5 linked regions of the Xenopus tropicalis genome follow. The protein of the gene in region 4 interacts with the protein of the main gene of each other region in a pairwise test. Links are inferred from orthologs where the notes say so. Each region holds a gene or a part of one and is shown on either strand. Other genes may lie near its edges. The genes, in order: sh3glb2, l3mbtl3, mrgbp, morf4l1 and nab2.

Evidence for each region.
Region 1: the proteins of morf4l1 (region 4) and sh3glb2 interact in a two-hybrid assay, tested with the Homo sapiens proteins (2 studies listed by BioGRID and IntAct). The link is inferred for Xenopus tropicalis from reciprocal best matches to the Homo sapiens genes MORF4L1 and SH3GLB2.
Region 2: the proteins of morf4l1 (region 4) and l3mbtl3 interact in binary tests that used the Homo sapiens proteins (3 or more experiments, as listed by UniProt). The two-hybrid records come from large-scale screens. The link is inferred for Xenopus tropicalis from reciprocal best matches to the Homo sapiens genes MORF4L1 and L3MBTL3.
Region 3: the proteins of morf4l1 (region 4) and mrgbp interact in binary tests that used the Homo sapiens proteins (3 or more experiments, as listed by UniProt). The two-hybrid records come from large-scale screens. The link is inferred for Xenopus tropicalis from reciprocal best matches to the Homo sapiens genes MORF4L1 and MRGBP.
Region 5: the proteins of morf4l1 (region 4) and nab2 interact in binary tests that used the Homo sapiens proteins (3 or more experiments, as listed by UniProt). The two-hybrid records come from large-scale screens. The link is inferred for Xenopus tropicalis from reciprocal best matches to the Homo sapiens genes MORF4L1 and NAB2.

What each region holds. Positions count from the first base shown.
Region 1 is NC_030684.2:22,816,108-22,822,641, forward strand, and holds the start of sh3glb2 (endophilin-B2), read left to right. Parts: upstream 1-2,344; 5' UTR 2,345-2,421; coding exon 2,422-2,484; intron 2,485-6,534. Other genes in the region: ptges2 (prostaglandin E synthase 2), read left to right, coding at 1-81, 200-328.
Region 2 is NC_030678.2:83,382,763-83,389,442, forward strand, and holds the start of l3mbtl3 (lethal(3)malignant brain tumor-like protein 3), read left to right. Parts: upstream 1-2,988; 5' UTR 2,989-3,025; coding exon 3,026-3,090; intron 3,091-6,680. UniProt on the Homo sapiens protein: Is a negative regulator of Notch target genes expression, required for RBPJ-mediated transcriptional repression. It recruits KDM1A to Notch-responsive elements and promotes KDM1A-mediated H3K4me demethylation.
Region 3 is NC_030686.2:2,536,727-2,543,234, reverse strand, and holds mrgbp (MRG/MORF4L binding protein), read left to right. Parts: upstream 1-2,433; 5' UTR 2,434-2,472; coding exon 2,473-2,611; intron 2,612-3,061; coding exon 3,062-3,183; intron 3,184-3,306; coding exon 3,307-3,388; intron 3,389-3,529; coding exon 3,530-3,604; intron 3,605-4,544; coding exon 4,545-4,729; 3' UTR 4,730-5,375; downstream 5,376-6,508.
Region 4 is NC_030679.2:118,087,155-118,093,131, forward strand, and holds part of morf4l1 (mortality factor 4-like protein 1), read right to left. Parts: intron 5,787-5,977; exon of another isoform or gene 5,712-5,786; intron 3,443-5,711; coding exon 3,396-3,442; intron 1,546-3,395; coding exon 1,478-1,545; intron 693-1,477; coding exon 606-692; intron 130-605; coding exon 49-129; intron 1-48. UniProt on the Homo sapiens protein: Component of the NuA4 histone acetyltransferase (HAT) complex which is involved in transcriptional activation of select genes principally by acetylation of nucleosomal histones H4 and H2A.
Region 5 is NC_030678.2:139,237,948-139,243,924, forward strand, and holds part of nab2 (NGFI-A-binding protein 2), read left to right. Parts: intron 1-2,988; coding exon 2,989-3,784; intron 3,785-5,977. UniProt on the Homo sapiens protein: Acts as a transcriptional repressor for zinc finger transcription factors EGR1 and EGR2. Isoform 2 lacks repression ability.

The sequences.
Region 1 (6,534 bases), on a different chromosome or scaffold from region 4:
GCCGCAGCCAATGATTGGGTGGCGGCCGTGGGCAAGCACAGGAAGTTTATGGGAGGATCTCAGCCCAACCTTGCTGACCTGGTGAGCATTTGCTGTTGTGTGTGATGGGTGCATCGGGGGAGGGTGACTGGGCCCAGTCTGATCCTGCTTGATTCCCCAGGTGTTCTCTAACCTATCTGTGCATTCCCTATTTTTTAAGGCTGTGTACGGGGTGATGCGAGTGATGGAGGGGCTGGAATCATTCGATGATATGATGACCAACACCAAGATCAAGCCCTGGTATGAGCGGATGACCACGGCTGTTTATAGCCCTGTAGATTCACAGTGAGCCCCTGCCCTGAAGTAGAAAGCTGATTGCACTGGACTCCTGCAGAAACCCAGGGAGGACCAAAGCCGAAGCACTTAATTAATCTTTACATTATCGATTCAGCTGAATGCTGGGAAATCCCAGAATGGATTATGCCTTTTGCAGATGTCTTCTGCTTGCTGGGTTAGGAAACAGTTAAAAGAAATTCTATAGTGTGGTTTGGATCTCAACATCCTATTCCTTAACAGAACTCTGTGTTTAGTGGCCCCTTTACTTTCTACAAACATAAAGCTCAGTTTTAATATAACAATAGCATTTGGACTGCTGGACAGCGGATGCGATGCATTCAAAGCACTTCCTATATCCATGGACTATTTCACTTGTTTCCTAATTAGGATATTTTGGTCTTTGAATTCAGCAAAATCTCAATAAACAGGTAGTACTGTATCAGTGGGCAGAGACCTTTCATTCCTGTGCCCAGTGTATTTGGTGGTATTTAGATCAATACCATTGATCAATGTATGTGAAAATTAGACTTACCGTATGTTGAACAAGTGGGCTAATCTGAGTGTTTGGTCCTAGGGCTGGTGGGAGTGGGTCTGGGGTGCAAGGGGACTGCACCCATGGCCTCATAATTTCTCACAGTAGGGTACTTCCCCTATTGCCTGATTTATATGAGAACAGACCCTGATCATATGTGGATTAGGGAGGCCTAGTACATGATGAGAAGTGAGGGAATAGTAATTTCTATGCTGTGGCCAACTCAGTTTGCACCAGTGCAGTAACCCAGATAAACCAGACATGTTCTGGGCACTGATTACACCAGACAAATCAACATTGCTCTTTAGGGGGTACTACACTGGTCCAAATGAAAATCAATAGTGGAAATAGGATATGCCTATATTCTGCAGAGAATATGGTTCAGACCACACCAATTGTTTCCACTGAAAGATTCTAATGTAGTTGGCTGGTTGGCAGCCTGTGGGGGCAGCACTTGTGGTGCTTCACCCAACCAAAAAAAATCCACCCACCTTCTATATGCCTTCCACCTGTGGGTGGGGCAGTTGTCTCTATGGTGAGAGGGGGGGGCAACATACCTTCCTTTACACAGAGCAATCATGCATACAAGCCTGCAGTTCCTGGAACAATCGTGCTGTGCGACCTGTCACGCTAGAATACTGTTGCCAGACAACCAGAATAAGGGTTGTGTATAAAGTAGAAAAGAGAGCAAGAGTGGCACACCAATTGTATCTGATATCAGAATGGGAATGTTGGCCAGTTGTCTGGCTTTTAATCATTTGGGAATCCAATGAGTGTTCCAGGCTTTAGAGGTCTGGGCAGGGGAGATTGAAGGCTCCCATAGGAGCTGGTGTCTAGATCTCACCCACAGTTGTACAGTAAGGAGCCCTTTAAAGCAAGAGAGGGCTTCAGGATCGAAGGCATTGGACCAGCTTTTCGGGACCCAATGACCAGGTTTAATACAGTGGGTCCCAAGCAGTATAACAGCCCCAATGACATGGTCACTATCAGGGTTTTCTGGATAATGACTGGGGTATAAGTGGATCAGGGGTGTGTTTGGGTATTATGAGGTAGATCATGGTTGTGAATCATGTAAGTGAGCATTTGTGGCCCCAAGTTACTTAATTGGTGTGGTCCAAGTGGGCAATGAGCTATGAATCCCAGTGAACGCAGACTGATGAAGTAGTGTGAGGACATATTATTTTATGATGGCTGCCCAGCCTATAGAAAGGTACACAATATGTGGGTAAATAATGCTTTCTAAATATGCAGATAGTGCACAACTCGCCCTTGTTCCCAGGTTGCTCATCCCAGATCAGTGGATGATTTCAATCTTCTTTTACATGATATTACTGAATTCGGAAGAATTCCCGTGAGGCTCAGCTGCTCTGACTGCATTGGGTGCAGTGTTATTATGGTAGGGCTCCTTTAACAGGCGCATCAAGCGATCCCGGATGGACAGAGGCAGGGAGGGAGTGATGAGCTCTGGGATAGACTAGGCGGCCTGTGGGTAAGCATTAGCCGTGGGTGGGCAGGAACAGGGCAGTGCAGACAGCTGGCTCCCGGCTAGAGGTGCGCTACCAGCCTGGCACAAGATGGATTTCAGCGTGAAGAAGCTGGCATCAGATGCAGGGGTGTTCTTCAGCCGGGCGGTGCAGGTAAGGGCCCGGGAGCGAAGACATCGCTCTGGGACCCAACTCCCCTCCCCTCTGCAGCATCCTCCGCTCCCAGCTGATGCTTCTTATCCTGCTCCATCTTTGCTGCACTTTGTGCTCCGAGCCTGCAGCCATTATGTGCCCCCTAGGTTCCTCAGTACCCCGGTCTCCCTTAAATATATTGTTTGTATATCCCCCCCCCCTTAACTGCATTGTACGCCTGCCGCCTTCCCCTGTACCCTATCCTTTTATCAGCCCCACCGCATTGTACCCTTACCCACCCTAGTTATACCCCTTCATTAGCCTGGCTGCACTCTTGCCAACTTCTGTTACACCGCCTTTATTTTCATGCCCACCCAAATATATAGCATTCTTTCCATCTCCCCATACCCCCTTCATTAGCAATGCCCACCCAAATATATAGTATCCTTTCCCATCTCCCCTATACCCCCTTCATAAGCAATGCCCACCCAAAAATATAGCATCCTTTCCCATCTCCTATACCCCCTTCATAAGCAATGCCCACCCAAAAATATAGCATCCTTTCCAATCTCCCCTATACCCCCTTCATTAGCAATACCCACCCAAATATATAGCATCCCCTATACCCCCCTCATTAGCAATGCCCACCCAAATATATAGCATCCTTTACCATCTCCCCTATACCCCCTTTATTAGCAATGCCCACCCAAATTTATAGCATCCTTTACCATCTCCCCTATACCCCCTTCATTAGCAATGCCCACCCAAATTTATAGCATCCTTTACCATCTCCCCTATACCCCCTTCATTAGCAATGCCCACCCAAATTTATAGCATCCTTTACCATCTCCCCTATACCCCCTTCATTAGCAATGCCCACCAAAATATATAGCATCCTTTCCCATCTCCCCTATACCCCCCTCATTAGCAATGCCCACCCAAATATATAGCATCCTTTACCATCTCCCCTATACCCCCTTTATTAGCAATGCCCACCCAAATATATATAGTATCCTTTCCCATCTCCCCTATACCCCCTTCATTAGCAATGCCCACCAAAATATATAGCATCCTTTCCCATCTCCCCTATACCCCCTTCATTAGTAATGCCCACCCAAATATGTAGTATCCTTTCCATCTCCCCTATACCCCCTTCATTAGCTATGCTCACCCAAATATGTAGTATCCTTTCCATCTCCCCTATACCCCCTTCATTAGCTATGCTCACCCAAATACATTGTACTCCACTTATATACCTTCATTTGTCCTGGCTGTACTCATTGCCAACTTTCTGTACCCCTTCATTACCCACGCCCAACCAAATATATTGTAGCCTTACCCCCCTATACACCTTTCGTTACCTATGTGTGTTTAACTACTATGTAACCTTGACCACCCCCCATAGCTCTTTCATTAATGATGCCCCCAAATTCATCATAGCCTTGCTTCTCCTCTATACACCTTCATTACCCCTGCCCACCCAAAGAGCCTTACACATCTCCCCTGAACCCCCCCCCCCTTATTACACATGCCCATCCAAATACATTGTAGCAATACCCTCTATATTCTTTATCCTCATCGTTACTGTACCCTTGCTCCCCTCCTCTGTACCCCTTCATTAAAAATATCCAACCAAATACATCTCCCCTATAGTACTTAATTAGCTATGTCCCTCCCAATTATATTTTAGCATTGCCCACCTCCCCAATGAATCCCACACCCACCCAAATACATTGTAGCTATGCCCTCTTCATTGACCCTGTACCCTTAACTTCACTGTACCCTTACCCAGCACCTATATACCACTTTCATTACCCATGCCCACCCAAAAACATTGTAGCTTTGCCAACTCTAGCTTAACATGCCTTCCGGGAATGTAACAATGGGTGAGCAGACCCTCACATCATATTACCTGGGGGTCCTGTGAAGCCCCAAAACATGCTCTATTGTAATACATATGTATATATATATATATATATATATATATAGATATATATATATATATATATATATATATATGCAGTCAAAGCTGTCTTGCCACTTGTTATAAGGGGCCCTAAACTGATATTACTGTGGCTCCATAAGTCCAAGTAGTGCTTCTAAAGCAAACACAGTAATTACCAGTGCCTTATATTTAAATGCATATAAATATTTTTTTATTTTGCGTGTAGGTATTATTGAGACTTTATTAAAGGCCCATACTGTAGGGCTGCAGAGAAATCAGTGCAGTCTGCATTAGAGCAAGCATTCATTCCATTAATCTGTGCCCAGTTTTAAGGGGGGTGCCAACACTTCTCTGCCTCACGGAATAACAAATCCCTGCGCCCCCTTGCACTGGAGCTGGAAGGGCAAAGGGCCAGTGGCCCCAGACTAATAAGCCCACCTGTAACCTCACTTCTTAGGCCCAACCCTTTAGCACACAAGCTGTTATAACTAAAACTCCCAGCATTCCCTGGCCGCTCCCATACTTCCTCCTTTCACTATTAAGCTTTCCTACGCCTTCAAGTCCTTTCTTAGGCCAGTGGTGTAATTATCAGGCATGTGACTGCAACACGGATCAGAGGTCCCTACTTACCCCACCCTGGCACTGAATAGGTTAATAGCGCCAGTATTATGTGTAATGAAAGGGTTATGCCGACTTGGCTTATCTCATGGGCAATGCCACTCCAGGGATTTTATTGTTGCCGCCAGTGATGTACCTCAGCACCCTGTACTGTTGCCAGGCAACCAATTCCCCTATGCATTCCCATCAGCCCCTGCACCAATGGAGCTTACAATCTAAGGTCCCCATCACAAGTGCTTCTTGTCCCTTAATCTACTGCTTATGTGTGTGAGCCCCACAGCCTTGGTATTTCAGGGCAAGTGTGTTGTGACGGCTGTTGGGGAGACACAACTCATGAACCGCACTGCTGGTCGCAATACTTGGCGACTGTGCCTGTAGGTGAGGGGTCACACTGCAGGAAGGGGGGGTTGTGCAATCAGTCAGGCGACTGTGGGTTGGGCAGCACCAGACTTTTCTGTGCTGGAGGGTATGGGAATAATTGCTTGGCTCGGTCATGCGTGTAGCCCTGCCTGTGTCACTGGTTCAACTCTTAGCATATCCTGGAAGCTTGGGCAATTTAAAGGGCAAATATACACTTTATATGTACACCCCCCTTTTTCCTGCATCATGGCTAGGTTGGGCAAGAGGGCAATGATTTGGTGCCAGGTTCAACCTGGGGGCTAAAGGGTTTGGGTCTCCACTTATCTGTGCTGCATGTGCTTTCAGGCCTATTAATGATGACAGAATGTATATGACACGGGGGAGTTGTAATTATTGTGCTTGCTACATTACAAAAACATTTTTTTCATACATTTAAATAGAAGGCAAAAAGGTAGATTAGCTGTTGTCGGCATTGAACGGGTTAAAAAAAACCACTAGGGCCCATATTATCCATTTATTCCTTGTTTATTGGACTTATGTTGCCTGTATCTGTATAATAGGGCTGCTGTACAGTGGCACATATGCAGTTGCTGTTTTTATGGCCATCTGCTACCCCTACTTGTGTCCCGCAGGGTCAGGCCCACCTGAGTAATGCCATGAATTGGTAGCAGCTGAGTGTGAGATGTTGCTAGCCAGGGGCAGAGGGCGGTGCATTAGTAGAAAGAGGGGCGGAACTGTAGAGCAAAGGAAAGGGCTAGTGTAGCTGCTGTATCATACAACAGCCCTGTACCGCACCATCATTAGCGCCCAAATTAAAGGTGATGTAAACCCACACATTTTCTCAGTATGCAGTTTGTTGGTTTTTAAGGCATTCCATTGCTGCACTGCTGGTTCTGACTCTTGAAACTAGTTTCATCATATACCCTAGTTTCATCATAAAAAGTCTGAACTTTATGGCCCAGTTGGGTCTCTTGGGGCCCATCTCAGAACCTGAAACACTGGGTCAACTCTCACAGCAATTAGACATATATGTTGTTATATAAGGATTGTCCTAAGTTGTATAAGTATAAGGCCCAGTGGGAGATACTCTTGTACCTGTCCTGCACCCCCCAGATGCACCCGCACAAAAACTAACCCTGCGCCAAAAT
Region 2 (6,680 bases), on a different chromosome or scaffold from region 4:
CCCTTTGTGTGTATTGGAACCGAACAAAAAAGGGAGGAAAAAAAGCAAATTGGTCACACAAAACTCCAAAAATGGGCAGGACAAAATTATTGGCACCCTTAACTTAATACTTGGTTGCACACCCTTTGGAAAAAATAACTGAAATCAGTCGCTTCCTATAACCATCAATAAGCTTCTTACCCCTCTCACCTAGAAATTTTGGCGCCTTTTCCCAACAGCAATTTTAAGATCTCTCAACAGATGTTCAATGGGATTTAGATCTGGACTCATTGCTGGCCACTTCAGAACTCTCCAGTGCTTTGTTGCCATCCATTTCTGGGTGCTTTTTGACCTATGTTTGGGGTCATTGTCCTGCTGGAAGACCCAAGATCTCGGACGCAAACCCAGCTTTCTGACACTGGGCTCTACAGTGCGACCCAAAATCCTTTGGTAATCCTCAGATTTCATGATGCCTTGCACACATTCAAGGCACCCAGTGCCAGAGGCAGCAAAACAACCCCAAAACATCATTGAACCTCCACCATATTTCACTGTAGGTACTGTGTTCTTTTCTTTGTAGGCCTCATTCCGTTTTCAGTAAACAGTAGAATGATGTGTTTTACCAAAAAGCTCTATCTTGGTCTCATCTGTCCACAAGACGTTTTCCCAGAAGGATTGTGGCTTACTCGAGTACATTTTGGCAAACTGTAGTCTTACTTTTTTATGTCTCTGTGTCAGCAGTGGGATCTTCCTGGGTCTCCTGCCATAGCGTTTCATTTCATTTAAATGTCGACGGATAGTTCGCGCTGACACTGATGCTCCCTGAGCCTGCAGGAGAGCTTGAATTTCTTTGGAACTTGTTTGGGGGCTGCTTATCCACCATTCGGACTATCCTGCGTTGCAACCTTTCATCAATTTTTCTCTACCGTCCACACCCAGGAAGATTAGCTACAGTGCCATGGGTTGCAAACTTCTTGATAATGTTGCGCACTGTGGACAAAGGCAAATCTAGATCTCCGGAGATGGACTTGTAACCTCGAGATTGTTGATATTTTTCCACAATTTTGGTTCTCAAGTCCTCAGACAGTTCTCTTCTCCTCTTTCTGTTGCCCATGCTTAGGGGCAGATTTACTAATCCACGAATCCGAATCCCGAAAGGGAAAAAAATCGTATTGGAAACAAAAATTTGTTTTTCGTATTTTGCGCGACTATTTTGTCGGCGTCACGCTTTTTTTGTATTGAGCTATAGTAAACGGCGGAAAAACCAATCCGATTTTTTCGCTACGGCGATGAAAAAGTTGCGGAAAATATATGAAAAAGTTGCGACGGCGACGAAAAAGTCGCAATAATACTGATCATTACAGAAAAACCGCATTCGGACGCCTTCGGACCGTTCATGGATTAGTAAATCTCCCCCTTAGTGTGGCACACACAGACACGCAATGCTAAGTGAACTTCTCTCCTTTTTATCTGCTTTCAGGTGTGATTTTTATATTGCCCACACCTGTTACTTGCCCCAGGTGAGTTTAAAGAAGCATCACATGTTTGAAACAATCTTATTTATCCACAATTTTGAAAGGGTGCCAATAATTTTGTCCAGCCCATTTTTGGAGTTTTGTGTGACATTATGTCCAATTTGCTTTTTTTCCTCCCTTTTTTGTTCTGTTCCAATACACACAAAGGGAATAAACATATGTATAGCAAAACATCTGTTACTGCAATACTTTTCTGTGAGAAATACTTTCTGGGGTGCCAACAATTTTGACCATGACTGTATAGCTGCTGTTTAAAGGAACAGTAACACCAAAAAAATTATAAATTTAAAAAAAACTAAACTATAATGTACTGCTGCCCTGCACTGGTAAAAGTTTTGTGCTTGCTTCAGAAACATAACTAGAGTTTATATAAACACTGGTGTGTAGCCATGGGGGCAGCCATTCAAAAGAAGAAAAGGCACAGGTTATATAGCAGCTAACAGATAAACCCTGTAGAATACAATGGTGTCTTATCTGTTATCTGCTATGTAACCTGTGCCTTTTCTCCTTTTTTCCAGCTTGAATGGCTGCCCTCATGGCTACACATCAGCTTATTTATATAAACTATAGTAGTGTTCCTGAAGCAAACACCCCAGTTTTACCAGTGCAGGGCAACAGTACGTTATGTTTCAATTACTTTAAAACACTTTCATTTTTTGGTGTTACTGTTACTTTAAAGCAGTGTCTGCCTGTCCTTTCTACTCTCTGCCCTGGTGGCTCTGGGGTTTGAAACAATGTAACACAAGGCAGCAGACTGACAGACCTGCCTTGCTGGAGGAGCCTGACCTACATTGTTTAAAAAGTCATAACCAGGGGTTCAGCAAATGCTGCTTTCTATAGCAATTACAAATTACTTTTAAAGCTCTAAAATGTTTAATAAATGCATATTGGAAAGTTGCTTATAGTTATGTTTTCTTTTATTAGGCAAAACATTATTTTTGGTTTTGACATGTCCTTTAAATTAACCACAAAGTTAATTTGCTGGGTGATTATTTTCAGAAATACTGTTTTCCCCTAGTATACATATTTTATCAACCTAGACTCATGTTTTTTTTGTTCTTCAATGCTATGCTTTATTATGTAGCTGTACAAAGCACTGGAATGCCACGCATTAGCCACCATAGCCGGGCAGTCACGGATAAACCACTCCTCTTAATCGAACGCAATTCGGTGGCAGCTATTTATTTTACTTTTGCGCCCCCTGTAGGCGAGCTTTTTAGTTAATGCCAGTCTCCATAATAAATGTGGTTACATTTCTCTTGAAAACTCAATTTCTCAATAATGCTCAGAACTTTGGAGTTACCACATAGGGCTACTATATTATCCTTATCATACCAAATTTATAATCATTCAGACTGCAACTAATAAAACAGAACTCCTAATTGCCCCACTCTTTGCCCCTTAAATTACCCTGCTTGATTGGCGGGGGGCAGTGGGTGGGAATGTGCTGTGTTACCGTAGCAACAAAGAGAGGCGGTGTGAATTTAGGATCTGCCCCCTGACGCCATCTTATGGTGGAAGAGGTGGCTCCGGGAGAGAGAAGAGTGGTGAGAAGTGATGGTCTGCATAGTGAGAGGGGAGTTTTGCCGTGTGTGGGGTAGTGTTGCTTTGCAAACGGGGAAATGAGGGAATAGCTGCAGCCAGAGGAATAGAGAGCCGTGATATTGCAGGAAACTGTGTGTGATGCTTATTAGAGAGCTAGCAGTACAGTGACGGATCAGTATCCGGCAGGCAAGCTGCACCCCAGCACTCCTAACCTGCTGCACACTGTCCTGACTTACCGCAGCAATCCCCCCTCCCTCCTATTACAGAATGTTTCAGGACTTTAATCATCTCCAGGTTGATCAGTTTAACACAATAAACTGCTCCAGGATTGCCAGAAAACTGGCTGAGGAGTATGGAGTATTATATATTGAGAAAGGGGTGCACATAATAAGAATTATTGTTCCCTGCAATACTAGCATAGAAAATTAGCAGTCTATATAAACTATATAACTAGATTTTAAAAATGCTTTCAGAGAAAACCTTCCATGCAAACTTGCAGCAACTTTACTATTAGTTTTAGGTAGTAACATTAACTACACTTTTACACATTCCTAAAATAAGCCATAAATGCTGTAGTCTTATATTAGGAGTATATCTCTGCTTTACTTGTGTCTTGACTGGAATGGAAGGGTTTGCCACCGCACACCTCTTTAAATATCCAACTATGGGAATGCATGCTGAATGCATCAAAACAAATATATTTCATTTTGAGATGTTAACATACTTTTCACTAATTTAGGAAGCTTAACACAGTAGCCTAGCTGGACATCAGGTGTTGGGATTGCATACTAGCCACTACAGCACCTTGTTAGTGAAGATCTGTGCCCCCCAAAGATGCCCTTGTAGCTCCCCATTTTTTTCAGCTGTTTTGCACCATGCAATCTGTACAGCTGTCAGTTACTGGCTCTTAGGGACCAACTCTCAATATACAGTAGAAGTCACTGTACAAGGCTGTGTAATTCATATTAATATATGAAATTCACAAACTGAAATTACTTATCTGAACTGCCCATATATAATTTTCTTTTTTTTTTTTTTTAATAATCCAGGAAATACACAGTAGTGTGCCTGTGGCTCACAGGGACCATTTCCCCATCCCCCTAAGGCTGGCAGATTCATATAACCCCTCCCTTATCTTTTTCCATATAAAGGTGATACATTCTGGGGCTTGAAGTCCCTGTGCTTCCATGGTGGGAGGTGCATAAATTCTCTGAGGAGTTCCTCTGAGAGGAACTTCACGTCTCTGGATAATATCACATGACAAAAGATCAAGGAGCGGTTGTATGGATAGTGAAAAATAATCCCTGTTAATTAGAAGCAGAGAAGCAGATGATTATGTATTATTCTCAATCTGAGGAATACTGTTAAGTGTTTATCCTTGTTTTTTTACATAAACCCAACTGACCCTATGTCAGAAAGGGGATATATATCAGTCCTGATGGTGTCTGCACTCCAAGGCTTTAGTATTCTGTGGGGTGCACAGCCAAAATCTGAGTATTTAGCATGAAATAATCCATGGCCGGCACACCCTTAAAATTCAAAAAAATTTTTTTATTGAAAACTCATTGTTTAAAAACCTGGTTTTTTTTTGAATTTTAAGGGTGTGCCGGCCATGGATTATTTCATGATATATATATATATATATATATATAGATATATATATATAAAATATTAGTATGTAATATGTTATATATGTAATTAATTTTAACTGGATACAATTAAGGTTTTGTCAATGATTCCTATATATGACCAAAAGATTTTAAATGCTTGTTATAATGTGCTGTGAGTGACTAATTATTAATATTAACACATATTTATAAAGCACCAATATGTAGCCCTATAAACTAATAATAAGTATGTATGGATTAAACATACAAATTTACATACAGAAACAACCAATAACTAATGCAAGAGGTAAAGCATTGTCCAAATGAGTTTATAATCTGAAAATCTTGTTTAAATGTTTTCCTTGGTATATTTATTATTTTTTTCAATATTTAATTCCTGGTATTCCTGGCAGCACATTTCCACAGCATATACACCATACTCACACACACACACACACACACACATACATACGTACAGTGATGCTTGGAAGTTTGTGAATTTGATCTAAAACATCATCTGATCTTCAAACAAGTCCTAAAAGTAATAAGAAAACCTAGTGTAACAAATGAAACAAAAATTATTATATTTGGTCATGTATTTATTGAAAAAAAAATGATCCAATAACATATCTGCATGTAGCAACAATAAGTGTATCTTTAGGATTATCATATCATTTGAAGGTGAATTCAGTCTGGTGTTTTCAGTCAATGGGATGACAATCAGGTGTGAGTTAGAGACCCTGTTTTATATAAAATAAAAAGGGGGTACCAGCAAAGCCTGATCACACATACAACACATTTGTGGATGTGTATCATAGCTCAACAAGGTGTCTAAGGACCTCAAAAAAAAGAGTTGTTGATGCCCATAAAGCTGGAAAAGATTACATGATCTCAAAAGAGTTTGGACTCCACCAATCAACAGTCAGACAGATGGTATACAAATGGAGGAAATTTAAGACTGTTGTTACCCTACCCAGAAGTGGTTGACCATCAAAAATAACTCCATCTGGAAGGTGTCTTATAGTCCGAGAAGTTACAAAGGAAACCAGGGAAGCGCCGGAACTAGGGGTAAGCAGAAGAAGCACCTGCCTAGGGTGCAACAATGGGTGTGCCAGGCAGGTACCTCTCCTGCCTACTCCTACTCTGCGCTCCCTTGTCTTTGCCCCCACCACTTGTTATTACATGATGGGGGCAAATGAGAAGGATACTGGAAGAATGTTTTGGGGATGGATAAAGCCAAAATAGAACTTTTTTACTTAAATGAGGAGAGTTACATTTGGAGAAAGTAAAACACTGCATTCCAGCATAAGTACCTTTTCCCATCTGTGAAATGTGGTTGTGGGAGTGTTCTGGTTTGGGCTGGTTTTGCTGCATCTGGGCCAGGACAGGTTGCCATTATTAGTGGAATAATGAATTTTGAACTATACCGGAGAGTTCTAAAGAAAAAAGTCAAGATATCTGTCCATGAACTGAATCTCAGTGGTTCATACAGCACAACAACTAATACTAAACACACAAGTCATTCTATGAAAGAATGGTTAAAGAAGAATAAAGTGAATGTTCTGGAATGGCCAAGTCCTGGCCTTAATCCAATTGAAATGTCGTGGAAAGACCTAAAGTTAGTGGTTCATTTGAGGAAACCCACCAACATCCAAGAGCTGAAGCTGTTCTGTATGGAGGAATAGGCTAAAATTCTTCTAAGTCGATGTGCAGGACTGACAGTTACCACAAACATTTATTTGCAGTTATTGCAGCACAATTGGGTCACACCAAATACTGAGAGCATGATTCACTTACTGTTGCCAGATACATATATGTTATTGGATCATTTTTTTCAATAAATATATGGCGAAATCTAATAAATTTTGTTTCATTTGTTACACGAGGTTTTCTTAATCTACTTTTAGATGTTTTAGGTCACATTCATATAAAAATATAGAAAATTTACAAACTTTCAAGCACCACTGTATATATGTATATATGGTGCAGCAACCATATATAAAAAAATATTTCC
Region 3 (6,508 bases), on a different chromosome or scaffold from region 4:
GTGGGGGCATGGGGGGGTGGCCTATAGTGGGTGGGGCATGGGAGTGGCTTACTGTAGGTGGGGGCATGGGGGGGGTGGCCTATAGTGGGTGGGGCATGGGAGTGGCTTACTGTAGGTGGGGGCATGGGGGTGGGCTATAGTGGGTGGGGCATGGGAGTGGCTTACTGTAGGTGGGGGCATGGGGGGTGGCCTATAGTGGGTGGGACATGGGAGTGGCTTACTGTAGTTCGGGGCATGGGGGGGTGGCCTATAGTGGGTGGGGCATGGGAGTGGCTTACTGTAGGTGGGGGCATGGGGGGGTGGCCTATAGTGGGTGGGACATGGGAGTGGCTTACTGTAGGTCGGGGCATGGGGGGTGGCCTATAGTGGGTGGGACATGGGAGTGGCTTACTGTAGGTGGGGGCATGGGGGGGTGGCCTATAGTGGGTGGAGCATGGGAGTGACTTACTGTAGGTGAGGACATGGGAGTGGCCTATTGTAAATGGGGGTGGGATGCTTAAAACTGCCTACAGGCTCCTGCGATGTACATTTAGTCCTGGCTTCTTCCCTGCCCCAGCAGGAACATCCCCAGCTCCTCAGGGGTTCCGCCCTGGGTTCCCTTGTAACCCACCCAAACCTGCGCAGCGCAGCGCCCCTTAAAGGAACAGTAACACCAAAAAATGAAAGTGTATAAAAGTAATAACAATATAATGTACTGTTGCCCTGCACTGGTACAGCTGGGGTGTTTGCTACAGAAACCCTACTATAGTTTATATAAATACCCCGCTGTGTAGCCCCGGGGGCAGCCATTCCTGCACTGGTACAGCTGGGGTGTTTGCTACAGAAACCCTACTATAGTTTATATAAATACCCCGCTGTGTAGCCCCGGGGGCAGCCATTCCTGCACTGGTACAGCTGGGGTGTTTGCTACAGAAACCCTACTATAGTTTATATAAATACCCCGCTGTGTAGCCCCGGGGGCAGCCATTCCTGCACTGGTACAGCTGGGGTGTTTGCTACAGAAACCCTACTATAGTTTATATAAATACCCCGCTGTGTAGCCCCGGGGGCAGCCATTCCTACACTGGTACAGCTGGGGTGTTTGCTACAGAAACCCTACTATAGTTTATATAAATACCCCGCTGTGTAGCCCCGGGGGCAGCCGTTCCTGCACTGGTACAGCTGGGGTGTTTGCTACAGAAACCCTACTATAGTTTATATAAATACCCCGCTGTGTAGCCCCGGGGGCAGCCGTTCCTGCACTGGTACAGCTGGGGTGTTTGCTACAGAAACCCTACTATAGTTTATATAAATACCCCGCTGTGTAGCCCCGGGGGCAGCCATTCCTGCACTGGTACAGCTGGGGTGTTTGCTACAGAAACCCTACTATAGTTTATATAAATACCCCGCTGTGTAGCCCCGGGGGCAGCCATTCCTGCACTGGTACAGCTGGGGTGTTTGCTACAGAAACCCTACTATAGTTTATATAAATACCCCGCTGTGTAGCCCCGGGGGCAGCCATTCCTGCACTGGTACAGCTGGGGTGTTTGCTACAGAAACCCTACTATAGTTTATATAAATACCCCGCTGTGTAGCCCCGGGGGCAGCCATTCCTGCACTGGTACAGCTGGGGTGTTTGCTACAGAAACCCTACTATAGTTTATATAAATACCCCGCTGTGTAGCCCCGGGGGCAGCCGTTCAAGCTGGAAAAAAGGAGAAAAGGCACAGGTTACATAGCAGTTAACTAGTAGATAAGCCCCATATAGTGGGTGTTTATCTGTTATCTGCTTAGTAACCTGTGCCTTTTCTCCTTTTTTCCAGCTTGAACGGCTGCCCCCGGGGCTACACAGCGGGGTATTTATATAAACTATAGTAGGGTTTCTGTAGCAAACACCCCAGCTGTACCGGTGCAGGAATGGCTGCCCCCGGGGCTACACAGCTGCTTATTTATATAGTAGCTTTTCTGTAGCAAAAACACCAGTTTTTTGCAGAGCAACAGCACATTATATTTTAATTACTTTAAAACACTTTAATTAATGTTACTGTTCCTTTAATACTAAAGGTAATATATCAGCTGGGTGCAGTTACCAAACGTGCCCACTGGGTGCCGCTGTGTAAGTGCAGCGCTTACTGTTCCAGCCTGATAGCGCTCAAAGTAATAACATGTTTGGCTGCCGCTGGCCACAGAGAGTCGCTATGGAAGCTGCAGATGCGCGCAGTGCGGTTGGGGAACACTAGGTGGCGCTGCTCATGTGTAACATCAGTCGTTCGCTGCGCTGTCGTTTGGCTGAGTGCAGTACTGCTGGTGAGCACTAGATGGCGCTATTGCACTAGGCACAGTGCCGCTGCTGGATACCGTTATGAGCGGAAGAGGCTGCTGCCCAATAGACGCCCCCTGTTGTGCTGCTATAGATATTGCGCTACAGTGCAACACCCATGGTGTCCGCTAGGAGTCGCTGTCCCCCGCAGTTTCCCCCCATTGGCTGCAGAGATGGGGGATTTAGAGGCCGGGGAAACTACTGTGGAAAAACCCGAGCCTCCCCCTGCCCCCCCCGCGGAAGAGCCGGTGCTGTGGAGCCCGGAGGTTGAGGTGTGTCTGTTCCATGCGATGCTCGGCCACAAGCCGGTCGGTGAGTGGAGGCCGCGGCCCATCCCCGGACTCGCGTAATCTGGGAACCCGGGAAGGGGGGGCTTCCGGTCCGGGTGGCGTCGGGACATGGCGGCCCGGGGCGGGATGAGGGGCTCTGGGTGTCTGTACCTGGGGGGGTAGGGGCACTATATCGGGCACTTTGGGGTTATTGTACCAGTGAGTGTAATTACACCGCAAAAGTAAAGTCCTGGGCAGTAACCTATAGCAACCAATGGGATCTTTGTTTCTATTGTTCTCTGCGGCTGAAAGAGAATCGCTGATTGGTTGCTCTGGGCTTTTGCTGCAGATTTGCCCCCTGTGTATAAATACATTCTATTTGGGGGGTATTTGGGCAGAACTAGGGGGAACCCTAATAACCATGTGACTACGGGACTCATTAACCCTTTGGCAGACGCAGGGCACAACTGACTCTTCTTTTTGCCCCTCGCAGGCGTGAACCGCCACTTCCACATGATCTGCATCCGGGACAAGTTCAGCCAGAACATCGGGCGCCAGGTCTCATCCCGAGTCATCTGGGAGCACCTGCGGAGCATGTACGATATGCAGGCCTTGGTAGGTGGCCCCGGGGAATGGGGGGGGCATTTCCTTACACTTCCAGGTGAGGTAGCCCCGCCCCCTGCTGTTTGCTCCACCCCTGCGCCCCCCTAACCTCCTGCCGTTACTTTCCCGTTGCAGCACGAGTCTGAGATTCTCCCCTTCCCAAACTCGGAGAAGAACTTCATTCTCCCGGAGGATCTGATTCAGGAGGTGAAGGAGGGTGAGTGTCAGCCTTTGGGTCCAGTTGCCCTCTGGGTACTGACCTAATGCTCTCTGTACCCCATTACTAACCTTGTGCCCCCCCCCGGGGCCCCCATACAGCCGGGCCCTAAAGGTCTGTGTCCCCTCCTCCTCTCTGCAGGGAAGGTGACGTCGGAGGAGGAGCTAAAGGAGGAAGTAAAGGAGGAAGTGGAAATACACGGCGGCTCGGATGAAGGTGGGAAATATTGGGCTGAGGAGCTTGCAATCTGTTATTCAGCTTCCCAGCCTCGGCCCCTGAGGAGTCTGTAGGGGCAGCGCTTAAGGGGGCGGTTCCCCTTTAAGTTAACTCTTAGCATGCTACACAATGATCAGTTCTAAGCAACTTTTCAATTGGTCTTTATTTATTTTTTATAGTTTTTGAATTATTTGCCTCCTTTCAAGTTTTCAAATGGGGGTCACTGACCCCGGCAGCCAGAAACCTATTGCTCCGTGAGGCTCCAGTTTTATTGTAACGTTTTTGTAACTTTTTTTTCTATTCAGCCCCTCCTCCTATTCATATACCAGCCTCTCATTCCCTGGTTGCTAAGGTAACTTGGACCCCAGCAACCAATTAGCTGCTAAAATTCCAAACTTAAATAACTAAAAAACTACAAATAATAAAAAATGAAGACCAATTGCAAACTGTCTCAGAATATCCCTCTCTACATCGTACTAAACGTTAACTCAAAGGGGAACAACACCCGAAGGTGCAAGTTTTGGGTCTTCCAGAACCGTTTCAGCCCATTTCCGGAACCAAAAATACACCTCTATCATTGTCTCTATTGGAACACGGCAGGGGGAGGGGAGACTTGACCAATTCTTCCAAGTGCATTGTGGGTAATGGGTGGTTTCTTGGTGGCTTCAGGGGGTCGGAACTTCATCTCTGTTGCCATAGTAACATTTCAGTCATCGATATCCTCATTGTCAAGGGGAGGAGCTTCCTGTACCTGTATAAGTGCATTTAGCAGGGGGCAAACAGTATAGCCACCTGGGGGCAGCAAGTTTAGCAGTTGCCCCAGGCAGATAACATAACCTGGGTGGGGGCTTCTGTGGGGTATATACGTGAGGAGGGGTAGATTTAAGGGGCAACAGGCCCTGCCAGATGCCTCACTCATGGGTATTTCCTTCCTCTGCAGCTTTTGTCAACTCTGGGAATTCTGGGAAAGGGCTGGACAAAGCCCCCGGGAAAGAGCGGACCCTCTCGGAATCCAGCTCCAAGGAATCGGGGGACAAGCGCAAGCGGAGCCGGCTCACCGAGAAAGTGCAGAACGCAAACAGCAACCCGTCCAGCCCGAACGCCAACAAGCGCAGGCGCACATAGGGGCGGGGCTGAGAGAAGGGGTGTGGCTTCCCAAGGGGTCAGAACCGGCCCGCGTGTAACTGAACTAATGGGTTGTGTGAGAGTCAGAACATTCTGCCCCGGCTCTGGGGCAGTAGCCAGTAGACTGTAGATCTCAAGGATGTAAATATTTTTAGGGGGTATGTGGGGGGGGGGGGTAGTGAATCTACATCCGCGGGGGCTGGGCAGACTGTGGCCCAATCAAACCCTCGTTAATCTACTGATGAATAAATCAATTCATTTCCCAACCCCTCTAATCTATTAGCCACGGGCTGACCATCTTTTTTATACCCCCCCCCCCCCAAAAATCAGCTTTGGAACGTTCCACTTTGCTCTTTCATAATGAATTAGGCACAGTCAGCAGCCTGGGGCCCCCCCAGAAGGTTCCTCCAGGGAATGGGGGGCTCTGGCTGTTCCCCACTATAGAGTCTCGGGGGCTGTCCTGCGAGTGATTCAGGGAGTTCAATGAATTTATAATGAACTTTCAGCAGACGGACAGGGGATCGATTCCCGCCGAAGGATGTCGGGATTTTACCCTACAGGGGGCAGCAGAGGTCTCTCCGGGTATTTAAGGCAGTTTTTATAATAATATTTTTAATGGATTTTATACATAAAGTGTTGGACAATGTAATCGCCTCCTGTTGTGATTTATACACATGAAATCGTTTGCCCCCCCCCGGGGGCCCCATTAGGGGGCATTAGAGAATTTCACCTTCATCCTATCAGTGTTTTGTTATTCTACATTCTGGGTTCAAATAGTAAAAATTCAATATCCAGTGAATTCATAATGGAAATCATCTCAGGGGCTTTTGGGCAGGGGTGGGGCAATGGGCAATAGCAAGCGCTGCAGTCATGAAAAGGATTTCAGCGGGGGCGGGGCCTGGGCTCTTACAGAGGTGGAGGAGGAGTTTAGGAGAGAATGTAAAAATCCCCCCTCGGTAATAAAGATTTGGTGACAGACTAGGATTTTGGCAGTGACAGTGGTCAGAGAAGGAGTTAATATGGCCAGAGGTTAATGAAGGGGTTAATAAATATATTAGCAAATTATTAACATACAGATATTATTGAAAGTCAAATGAGTGTGAAATGTAAAACCTGCATGTATAGGGGGAGCTATAGGGAGTTGTCCCACCCCTAGGGGATGCCAGTGATTGGCTATGGAGTATGAGTGACAGGTATGTGGCCCTATCTGCCTTTGTCCCGCCTCTGAGTAGCCAGACCGCACCCTCGCTGAGCCCCATAGAGACACACAGGGAGGGAATCTAATCCCCCAGGTGTCAGGATTTATATATATATATATATATATATATATTAATAGGGCGGGGCCTGATGGGAGGTGTTTAACCCCTTCTGTACCTGCCAGGAATGTAACAGCCAAACACAAACTGCTCTGTCCTGAGAAAGGTGCTGCCCCCTAGTGGCCGGTACTGGGTTTGCCCTTGGGCATAGCTCTTACCCCTAGTAGGGTTCTCTTCTGCCTCAGCTGGGGGTCACTTCCAGGCACCCACCTTTAGTTTTGGGGTTACCCTGTACTCACTATTGTCCCCCCTGATTATATTATATCATTTGCCAACTCAGCCCCAAATGTGCCAGGCTTATTGCCATAGGGGTCACAGGAAGTTGCCATGGGAACAAGCTCAATGCCACATTCCCAAATAGTCGGTAACTGCCCCCTGTTATCCCTCCGCCCGGTGCCAGGGGGCGCCCTGTTCCAGCCAATCAGATCATTGGGTTCCCTGTATCCCCGGCCCAGTCCGGTTT
Region 4 (5,977 bases):
TGAAAGAGAAGCTTAAAAAAAGAAAAAAAAAAAAACAGCACTGCTTACACTTCTACATTCTTCTGTTGAAGGGCAGCAGTCTTCTTTCCTGGTGCTGCTGCTCTCATCTTCCCCTCTACATACTGATCCCTAGATGGGAAAAAAGTCAAAATAAGGAAAGCAAGTTTTTACAACAATATCCTATTAACCTTTGAACAACCGGACTGACAGGTATTTAAAAGATTTCAAAGAGGCCGTTCACTGATTAAATGTCCCTTAATGTATTAGGCAAGTATGAGGGGACTGACAAAAAATTAAAAAAAAAAAAAGTTATGTTTTATATAGTCCACTATGGCATATAAAATTAACAGTAATAATATATCCCACAGTTGTGATCTTGTGCCTTTACAACATCTTGTGGAGCTGAAGGTTCACTGTAATGGCAAAGCAGGGTAAACCCGTTAACCAGAAAGCTCCATATTACAGGAAGGTAGTCCCCCACTGAGTCCATTTTAACAAGATAATTTTAGTTTAAATGATTTTTAGCAAACATGTTATGGTGATCCATGTTACAGAAATATTCCTTTCCTGGAAAACCCCAGGTCCCAAATTTTGGCCCCACTTACTGATTGGCCTTCTGAAGTTCTTTTTGTTTCTGTAAGTTGGTGTCCACGTATTTGAGTACTCTGCTTTCTGGTACCCACTCATCCCAGCTGCAACAAAATTAAGTAAAATTACTGATCATTTATAGAAGTTTAAACAGGTACATACATAACTTTCTACTCATTTAGCACCCGAAAACTACGTAGAGAAATATATGAGAAAAATTTGTATTTTTTCTAATTGTTAGAACTTTTCATATGGACTCCGATAATGTTGTTAAAATAGTACGACTTTTTCGTGGTTTTTGTTAAATTCCACGAAAAAGTTGTATTTTTTTTTGCAAAGGATACAACAATTTCAGAATTCATGCAAGCTTTGGTATTGTGACTTTCTTTTGGCCAGGTTGGAGCTGTAGTGCCATTGAGTCCTATGGAAGGCTTCCAAAATCATGCATTGAAGTTTCAAAGTCAGAAAGGTTTTTGCGCCGTTTGCGATCGTTCGGATACGAAAATTTCAGAACTTAACCACAATTTTTTTGTACGTCCGAGAAAAGAATTTGTGACATTTTCGAACATCAGAAACTATTGTGGTTACTCAGAATTTTTTCCAATTGTGCTTTTAACAATCCGAAATTCGTGGTTTAATGAATGGGCCCCTGTGTGTACCTAAGTTTTAGGGGCACTATATGTCTAATTCTGTTACCCAAACCTAATTATTATGTAATTTTATTACAATCTTTTGTAACAGAGACTTTTTCATCTCTATGAGGGTTTATTCTAGCTATATGAAAGCCAGAACTATACAACGTTATCAGAATAATACTACCTTCAACTGAAGAATAGATATCTAATTAAGTCAATTAAAAATGAGAAATGTCAATCTACATATAACTTACTTCTTATTCCATCCGCTGTAGTGAATGAAGTACTTCACTTGTTTGTCCTTAATGGCAACTTTCACACACTAATATAAAAAGAAAGATCAAACTTTATCTAGTACTCAGAAATGCAAGCATATGACATGAGCTATGAGCAAAATAGTATGCCCATCCTGAAAAAAGGAGTATAGTATTTTCCCTATCTCAGCGGTTGTCAGACTGTTTGCATCTAGCCTTTGTTCTTTCAGGTGCATCCTAAAGAGCAAATGGGTATGCCCCAAAAATAGGCCTTCAGACACAGTCCCATCTGATGCTGTTCCATGCCCTCTCAGGAATAGACCTTACATTTTAGGAACCGCTGTTTGGGTAACATACACGGGACGATTCTAGCTGCCAGTATCGGTCCCTTAGACAGATTCGGCAGCTTATCAGCACGTGTTTGGACACTAACGACAGACCCGCCCGACCAACATCTGGCCTGAAATTGGGCAGATCTCGATCGGGCAGGTTTGAATATTAGTTGGATCGGGGCCCGCGACAGCTCGTTGATGCGGTCCCTGAACCGACGGACGTCTATACACATTGTTCTAAATTGATTACTTGCGACCTTGCCAAGCAAGTGGGTCTTGGCCTGTATGGCAACCATAACTTTTTTATAAATGAGATAAACTGCATACACACTTTACAAACATTTTCTGCAAACAGTCTCCTCAAGACAGCATTTTGCTTTGTTTGCCTTTGTTTGACTGAAAACCGCATCCAATTCTGTTAATTTAACAGCTACAGTCATGCCATTCAACAGTCTAACTTTTTCTATAACCTGCTTCCCATGTTTTAAAATAGGGCACCCAATGCATACCTGCTGTGAAACCCCTCTGGATACATATACATGTGCACAGGCTCAAGAATGCAGCCAATGCAATGCAGATGCCAAGACTTTGAGCTCAGCAGGAGACTTGAGCAGCCATTCCTAAACCTGCTGTGACTTCTCTACTGAGCCTGCTTGCCCCAGACCACCCAGAATATATACTTCTTGTCAGAGGAGGCAAGTACAGCAGGATTATACATCACAACAATTGATCTGTGGTAGACTAATCAAGTACAAACTTTATATATTCCAGCAATAAGGGCAACGGTGAAAATCGCTGTAATCTCTATTTCTTGTATCATAAGCCTGCAGTACAAAATCACATGAACAGCAGCCCTATAATTGAATTATCTTTCTGTTAAGAAACCAATTTAACCCTTCGAAGGACTGGGTTAGAAATGCATCTATAAAGTATTTTAGGCAGAGGGGGGTGAAAGCTCTACTCATAACATAACTTACTGTATTACTGTACTTTCTGTAATTTGGATCTCCATAACTTAAGTCTGTTAAAATGGAGTCTATGGGAGATGTCCTTTCTGTAATTCAGAACTTTCTGAATAACGGGTTTCTGGATAAGGGATCCCATACCTGTACTATGTAAGTAAATGATCCATGTTATCTCTACCCAGCTACATCATAAATGGGGGATGTAATTTACAGAGAATTGCTTTTCTGCATCCACAAATAAGAGCTCTACACCCTTATGGGTCATTATTGTACTCAGTAGATCAATGATGTTCTTATGTGAAGTTTAATTCATAGTAAAAAAAAACAAAAACCTCATATAGGGCAAAGGCACATAGGTTTTTAATTGTCCAGAGATCTGGTAGAAATTCATCTGAACCATAGACATGACAGGCTTTTCATAGACATAGGCTTGTCAGGCAATGGTAGCCTTAAAAATCTGTGCTGTCGGGCAATTTAGTATAGTGTTTCTAAGCTAAAGTACCCAAAATAGTCCCAGGTGTCATTGGCAAGAGGCCAACTTAAATTTTTAATCACCTTCCTTAACATTCATAAAGTTTAACAAAGAAATAATAGTGTGTTCATATTTAGTACAAAGCCTACCTTAGCTTCATAAAGCAGAGGACCATGAAAACACAAGACACGCTCACCTATGAGAAAAGACAAAATTTAATGCCAAGAGAAGTATATGTGCTAGATCACAAGAAACAAGCACACTCAAACCTGTTCCCTACGGATTTTGAGGCTGACTAATGTTATTAAATCTGCCTCATACAGCATATAAATCCCTGCATTGGCTGTTTGCCTCCCTCCATTTAGACAGAAAGTAATGAAATGCATTAATAAACGTTATTGTTATTTGTAGTGGATCAGGTGGACACTACGCAGTGCATAAAAATAAGCAGATAAGCTGTTTAGAGAGTCATGGTTTTGGTATTTTTCTATTTAGTCATCTTACCAGGGAACCCTTTTGCATAGCAACAAACATGCTCAGGAAAATTCTATACTGCACATCTAGCTAGGTGCAAGTGATCCCCTGGTAAATACAGATGCAATGGCAGCTTATAAATATAAAGATCCACCTCATTCTACATTGTGTAAGACGCCAGCCTGGGTGGAAAAATTCAGTGGGGGTTCCTAATATAATGGAATAATACCCTGCCATTAATTAGACTTTAGTTGTCTTTTAAAGCACAATACACTAAGCACTAACAATTGAAAAAAAAGACCTTGTTTATATGTGGTGAGTACATAAGCTAATTTCCTATTACTGCTCATTAAGGCTACAGTTACACAGAGCCCTTCTGTGTCTGCACTAACAGGGGCCACACGCAGCGGATATCGGTGCTGAAATAGGAGTATGCATTTTCATTTCTGAAATAAGCTCCGCGTGTCTGCACACAGGCAGACTCATCTCTTACAATGTAGCTTCCACCCACATACAGTGATGACGCAGTGACCTCTAGTGGCAAATTGCCTACTATGTTTCCTTATATAACTGCTTCTGAATAAAGGGGCTCTCAAACAAGGTGTAACTTTGTATTGCTTAAATAAGGGGGAAATGTATATTGCTTTCTAAATCCATAACAGTATTATTATTAAGAACTATATCGGTTACATAGGTTAGACGTGTGAACAGGACCTGGGCTTAGAAACAGAGCGTACATTTTTTTCCTGTATAATTGCTATTCTAAAACACAAGGATGTTAGAATTAAGGAGTTCCATATCCATATAAATGGCATGAGGCCGAAGTAAAAGTGCTTTTATATAGCTCATGACACTCTACAAAGATGGGGAGACATAATTTTTTTTTTCTAATAATACATAAGTTACAGTAAGTCACTGACAAGTTATTAAAGGGCACCTTAATAGGCGCTTAAGGGGTGACATGATAACTATGTATAAATATATAAGGGGATCATATAATAATCTCTCTAATGTTTTATTTACCAGTAGGTCCTTCCAACGGACACGAGGGCACCCACTCCGTTTAGAAGAAGGGAGGTTCCATTTAAACATTCGGAAAGGATTTTTTACTGCGAGAGCTGTGAAGTTCTGGAATTCCCTCCCTGAATCAGTCGTGCTGGCTGATACATTATATAGCTTTAAGAAGGGGCTGGATGGATTCTTAGCAAGTGAAGGGATACAGGGTTATAGGAGATGGCTCTTAGTACAAGTGAGGGAATACAGGGTTATGGGAGATAGCTCTCAGTACAAGTGAGGGAATACAGGGTTATAAGAGATAGCTCTTAGTACAAGTTGATCCAGGGACTGGTCCGATTGCCATCTTGCAGTCAGGAATTTTTTCCCCTCTGCGGCAAATTAGAAAGGCTTCAGATGGGGTTTTTTGCCTTCCTCTGGATCAACTAGAAGTTAGACAGGTTATATATAGTTATTATGGTTGAACGTGATGGACGTATGTCTTTTTTCAACCCAACTTACTATTTTACTATCACCCTAAAATTGCTTTCCCTATCAGAGGTGCAGCCAAATACAGCCTGCACTCCGGTTGGGGAAAACAAAAAAAAGCCCACTACAGTGTTAGGCATACCGCACTGGGAGTGAGCTCCCGGTTGGGGCAGCCATGACGTGGCACTTGCATGCGCATAACAAGTGAGTGCCATAACTGGCTCATTATGCGCGTGCGTGTGCCATAGAAGCGCGAGTCACATTCTCGCAAGTGCATAATGAGAACTCAGGCAGTCCTACTCATCATGTGCATCATACATGTGCTAAATATCATGACCGCCTGCACGAGGAAGCACTGGCTTTTTTGAAGAAAAAAACCCAAAACCATTGTTTCCCCCAACCAGAGTGCAGGCTTTATTAGCCCTTTAGGCACAGTAATATGTTTAGAATGATGTAGTCAACTGGCAACATAATAATTTTGTTCTGCATTTATTCAATTTTGAATTTACCCTAGTAATCAGGAAGTCCTCTGTATGACAGTCTGGAATATCAGTTTCTGGACATCAACAAACATGTTAACATTTCTATAATATAAAAGAAAACCTAGTCTCACAATCTGCTTGCTTTCTTGTTGCTGGGGTCACTGACCCAGCAAAATATACAGTAAAGTTCAGGTCCAATGGATTCAGAATTAGAAGCCAAATATGATAACCCTTGCAAAGTAAAGGTCAATTGGAATGCTTAAGATACAGATGTAACCTTACCCTTTAAAGAA
Region 5 (5,977 bases), on a different chromosome or scaffold from region 4:
GCAGCACAGTAGGATGGGTCATGTGCAGATATCTAGAAAGTAGGTTAGAGTTGGGTGCAGGTCGAATTTTTTTCAACCCACACATCACTAAGGTATAGGATGCATTATCCAGAAAGTTCCAAATTATAGGAAGACCATGTCCCATAGACTCCATCATAAGCTAATCTTTAAAAAAGTATTTTCTTTTTCCCTGTAATAATAAATCAGTACCTTGTATTTGATCCCAACTAAGATATAATTAGTCCTTATTCCAGGCAAAACAGTCCTATTTAATGCTTTTTAAGTAGACCTAAGATATGGAGACCCAAATAATGGAAAGACACCTTATCTGGAAAAGCCCAGGTCCTGAGGATCCTGGATTATAGGTTCCATACCTGTATTGATAGACCTCAGTTGATAGGTTACATTCTAGAGGTTTAGGCCTTATTAAACAATATAATGACTGTACTAGCTGTCCTCTCTTTGGCAAAGCAGTATCTCTTCACTGAATCAATATTCCCATATCAGGGGACATTGCAAAATAAAACCTGTCACTGTTTCACAGTTTTGGAACCAAATCTAAGACCGAAGGCATTACCCAAAACACAGTAGACAATTATGGGTCATACTGTAAAGCAGTAGTAGAGCAGAAACCAAAATCAAAGTCATTACTACTTTCACTGCAACTGTCTCCATAGCCTGCTACCAAGCATCTGCTCAGTTTAGACAAAGAAATATTCTCTTTCAGATTTAGATAAATCATTGACAACAGAAAATTATAAAAGTGGTAAAATATATATATATATAAACTATGTGCTCTAAGGCAGCATGTTGGTGGTATTTAGCACTTTCTTATTTATATCCTAAGCACATATTCACGAGAAATTGTACATATTTACACAACAATGACACCTTGCATAACAGGAAATATTGCTTGCAAGTAGCAGTATCAAGCGGGGAATGCTGACCAGCAAGCACATAGTTCTCACCCACCTTTGCAGAGTGTTGAAACTCTATATGTCCTTGTATATAATACTTTGTTCTACATGAATATATTGGAGAATATAACAAAAGTTGCAAAGTTTGCACCAGGTCTGGCAAACCATAGCAACTACATACTACTTTATTGGTTGCTGTTGGTTACTAGACTTTTGCAAAACATTTGCTTACATGCTTGTTAGGAAGCAGTGTGTCTTTGTACTATTTTGCTAATCATGAGAGTGTAAATCACAATGTAAAGCTGGCCATACACGCACCGATGATATCGTACAAAACCTCGTTTCGTATGATATTTGGTGCGTCTATGGCAACTCGCAGAAGGCTGCTGATATCGGTCGACTCGCCAATCGGGCGGGTTAAAAGATTTTGATCGGGCGCCATAGAAGGCGTCTGAGCAAAATCTGCCTTCAGGGCTGAATCTACAGAAGGAGGTAGAAATCCTATTGTTTCTACCTCCATATCTGACGATTCAGCCCTGAACGTCAGTGGAGGGTTGGAACGATCTTTTGTGCGGCCAGTGATCACACGAAAGAACGAAAATCGCCACGTGTATGGCCAGCTTAAAATGTAACAGATCATTCTTCATAGCCTGGAGATATCTAAAGAAAATCTAAAGCTGCTAGACTAACGTGAGTTCTGGTGTTATGGCCAGCTTACTAACTAGGGATGCCTGTCTTGTTACCGATGGCTGCTGAAACATTAACAGTTGCAAGGAACAAACTAAGAGCATTTTGAAGAATTCAGTGGTGGCCAGAGTACCCATGTGCTCCCCGAACAAATAGCCTTTAAGCCTGTCTGACTTTTACTCTGTTCCATAGGGTTACATCCAGTGAAAGTTGTCATTTAACCTTGAATAATTCTACTGTATTATGCTTAAAAGAGATTTAAAGTTCCAAAAAGAAAATGTATACTTACGCAAAACTTACCCAGCCCAAATCCACAGCAGCACTTTATCAGTAGGGTTGCCACCTTTTTCTGTCAATAATACTGGCCTTCGGGTGGGAAGGGGGGGTCATAATGTAACGGGAGGGAAGATGGGTGGAGTGGGCTGGGCAGGGAAAAATTGGATGGGGCAAGGAAATGGATAGGGAAATGGACAGGCTTATAGGTGGAGCATGGTTATAAGGGGTGAGGGAATGATTTATAGGGCATTAAAAATTTACCAGCAATTACATTGCCAGTAAATGTGTAATACCTATGCCGGCCCTAGCTGATCATTTACTGCCCAGGCTGGTCAATACTGGCCAGGTGGCAACCCTGTTTAGCAGTTATTCTGTGCCTCACAAGATGCCTCCAGTAGCTTCCTATATTATTTATCTTCTGACTCACATTAAATGCCATAGGCTGTTTTCAGTTACCTAAGCTTAGGGACCAGCTTTATATAGTAATATAACATTCACAATACAAAGCTAAATAGTAATTCTATTCTGTTGTGTATAAAAGCTATGAATTCTGCATCAGAATTAATAAGTACCAATAGAATCAGCTTATTTGACAAATGTCACCTATTTGCTAATATTGAGATGATTTCCAATAACTCCCACCAATACTGCTATGGGGCTGCTGAACCAAGTTCATTTTTTATGACAAACAACTTTTCTAGTTATAGTTGATGCATCATATCTGGCTTGTTTTGTGATCATTTTTTTGCTGCTTTGGGCATTTATTGAAAATCGTTTCCATTTATACTGTATATGGTATTTTTTTTTTATTTCTGCTCTTTGTTATTGATCTTATTCTTCTCATGTTATTGTTCAATGAGGCATTAGATTTTTGATTATTTTGACATGTTTTTGTTACCAGATACAGACCTTGCAGTTGGGTTGTTAAGTTGGTATTTTGGTTTGCCTTGTTGAATATTAGGACCATTTTATTTAATTCTTTCTTTCATTTTGTGTATTGGGCTGCTTTCTAGGTAGAAGTGCTGATTGGGTTCTCATTATAGTCATATATCCAGAAACATTTAAAACAAGTTTTTTTGTAACATTTCTATAAATTTCTGTCTTGCAGGATCACTACGGACCCAGTTATTCTTCCTCGCACCCTGGGTGAACTGCAGTTGTACCGTGTCCTCCAAAGAGCCAACTTGCTTGGTTATTATGACACCTTCATCCAGCAGGGGGGAGATGATGTGCAGCAGCTTTGTGAGGCGGGTGAGGATGAGTTTTTGGAAATCATGTCTCTGGTTGGCATGGCAACAAAACCATTGCATGTCAGACGATTACAAAAAGCCTTGAGAGATTGGGCGACCAATCCAGGATTGTTTAATCAGCCTGCCTTGGGAAATATACCTGTCAGCAGCAGTATACCATTGTTCAAAATTTCAGAGACAGTGGGGCGAATTGGTAGAAATACAAATGGGCATCTCAATGTCCCTGAAGTTCAGTGCAAAAGCCCTGGAAATTTTGTTCTAGAACAAGCTGAGAAAATATCCCCTTCCCAGCTAGACAGGAGACAGTGGACTGCTCAGATTTCCCCAGAGCTAGATGATGCAGATGAAGAAGAAGTTGGTGAGGAAGAAAATGGAGGTGATCAATATTCTTCACCTGGGGAAAGGCTAGAACCTGAGCTAGCCCAGGTCGTGTCCGATAGTGTGGATAGACTAATGAAAGGACTGCCACGAGGAGATATCAGTGAAGCCAGATCAATGCTAAAGTTGAACAAGAAATTGGGTCGTTCACTCGGACACATTTTCCAAATGGGCAATGGAAGTCAGAGGAAGGAACGTGAAATTCGCAGACACAGTGCCATCTATGGACGGAGTGAATCCAAGAGACGGGAAGGAAAGAGGCTTACACTGCATGAGGTCAGCACAAACTTCTTTTTACCTGCTAATTCTTCATTGTTTTAGCTGAGGTACCAATAGAATTTACTGAGCTGCTCAGAGTGTAATGAGTTGGTGTTGATGTTTCCCATATTGTGTGTAAAAAAGGCAAAGTTGTGCTCATCACTAAATTTTAAACCATTAGGTCATGGTGCAATGAGACTGTGACCACAAATTCCTATAGACAGAAAGAGATTTTTTGGAGTAAAAGTGGTGTTAAACTGGTGTAAAACACTTTTTCCATGCTCATACAGAAATCTGCCTAAATTCTGACTCAACCGTCACTTTTCAGTTTTTGGTGAAAGAAAGACATTTTACAGCCACTTGAAAATAATGTCAATATATTGTATAAGTCTTTATTCAAAGGAAAAGTAAAGCCTCACTGACAATTCTTTAGTTTTGGTACTATTGCACAGAACCCTCCTCAACATGTCACTGATGTGGTTGGGGAGGGAGGATAAGGAATCTTTTGGAATCTGACCCTGTCATAAACAGCCATCATTTCTTTTGTTGCTCATATTAGGGCTCAATTACAACTGTAAAAGCAGTGAGCAAAGTAAATTTTGCGCAACCGTCATGGTTTCTTCTCATAATGCAGAGCTTTTTCCCAGAATTGTTGTTGTGCTGATCCACCAAAGTTAACACAACTACACTTGCACTTTAATGTAAACTGAATGCAATTGCGCTTAAAGTTTTCCAGGTCCTGTTGGCATCATTTCCAGTGTTTGCCATAGAGTGACGTGCGCCCAGTTCTTTAGAGGCAAGTTCGCTGTGTCTATTGACCCAGGTCTGGAGGTGGTGGTAGCTCCAGGGTTCCCCTGTCAATTGGTACAACTCTTCTCAATTCAGAATGGGAGGTGGATAGGCAGGGTTGGACTGGGGTATACAGATCCCACCGGGGCTTCTGCCTCAGGGGCCCCTGCACCCCCCAATGGCCCCCGCTGCAGCCTTCACACACCTCCCCGCAGGCCCCCCCACCCGTCCAACCCCTTCCCCCGAGCGCGCATAAATGAAACTTACCTGCGGCGCGTCGGGGAAGGGAGACCGGAGAATCAGTGGAACTCCCTGTGGGGAATCGGGTCTGGGCCGCCGGAGTCCACTAGAGCCAGGGCCCATCTGGCTTTTTCCCAGTGCCCCGGCAGCCCAGTCCAATCCTGAGGATAGGACTGACACAACTGAAAGTTTAAGGTGTTCCTTCACAATAAAGGGTGTATTTGCTAACACTGGAGATAAATATCTCTAGTAATGTTGCCCATAGCCACCAATCAGATGCAGACCAATTGCAATTGGTCTTTATTTTTTCATTATTTTCAGATTATTAATTATTTAGCTTTTGTGCAGCAGCCTTCTAGTTTGGAATTTCAGCAGCTATCTGGTTGCTAGGGTCTAATTTAACCTAGCAACCAGGCAGTGGTTTGAAAGAGAGACAGGAATATGAATAGAGAAGGGCCTAAATAGAAATATAAGTAATAAAACAATAAAATTGTAGCCTTTCAGAGCTATAGTTTTATGGCTGTCAGGGTCAGTGACCCCCATTTGAAAGCTGGAAAGAGTCACAAGAGGAAAGCAAAAAATTAAACTATAATAAGATGAAGACCAATAGAATAGGACATTCTTTAACATACCAAGGGGCACATTCATCAAATCACAAATTCGAATCCCGAATGGGAAAAATTCGGATTGGATACAATAATTTTTGAAGATCGCAAATATCACGAAACGCAAATATCACAAAAAAATCGTATTAGTCACAATAATATTGTATTGGTGATCCAAAATTTTCGTATTGAGCGATACTGAAGCTTGAATGAATCCAAAACTTTCATACTCTGCGCGACAATACGATTTTGTTGCACAAATTTTGTTGCAAAGTACGAAAAAGTTGCGCAAAGGTACGAAATTGTCGCAGAAAATACGTTCAGTGCGAAAAATAAGCATTCGGAGCGTTCGTACGTTTTTAAGTATCTCCTGAGGCCATTAGCCTGGCGCTAGAAACAATTCACTTAGGGCAGATTTATCAAAATGTGAGTTTAGAGCTCAATGCATGAAAACTTATCCAAGTTCTATACATTCCTTTGGGATTTCTCGAAGTGTTTTTATTAAGTTAGAAGTCAGCATTTAATAAATGCGCTACTAAAAATCCCATAGGAATGAATAGAACGTGGGTGAGTAAGC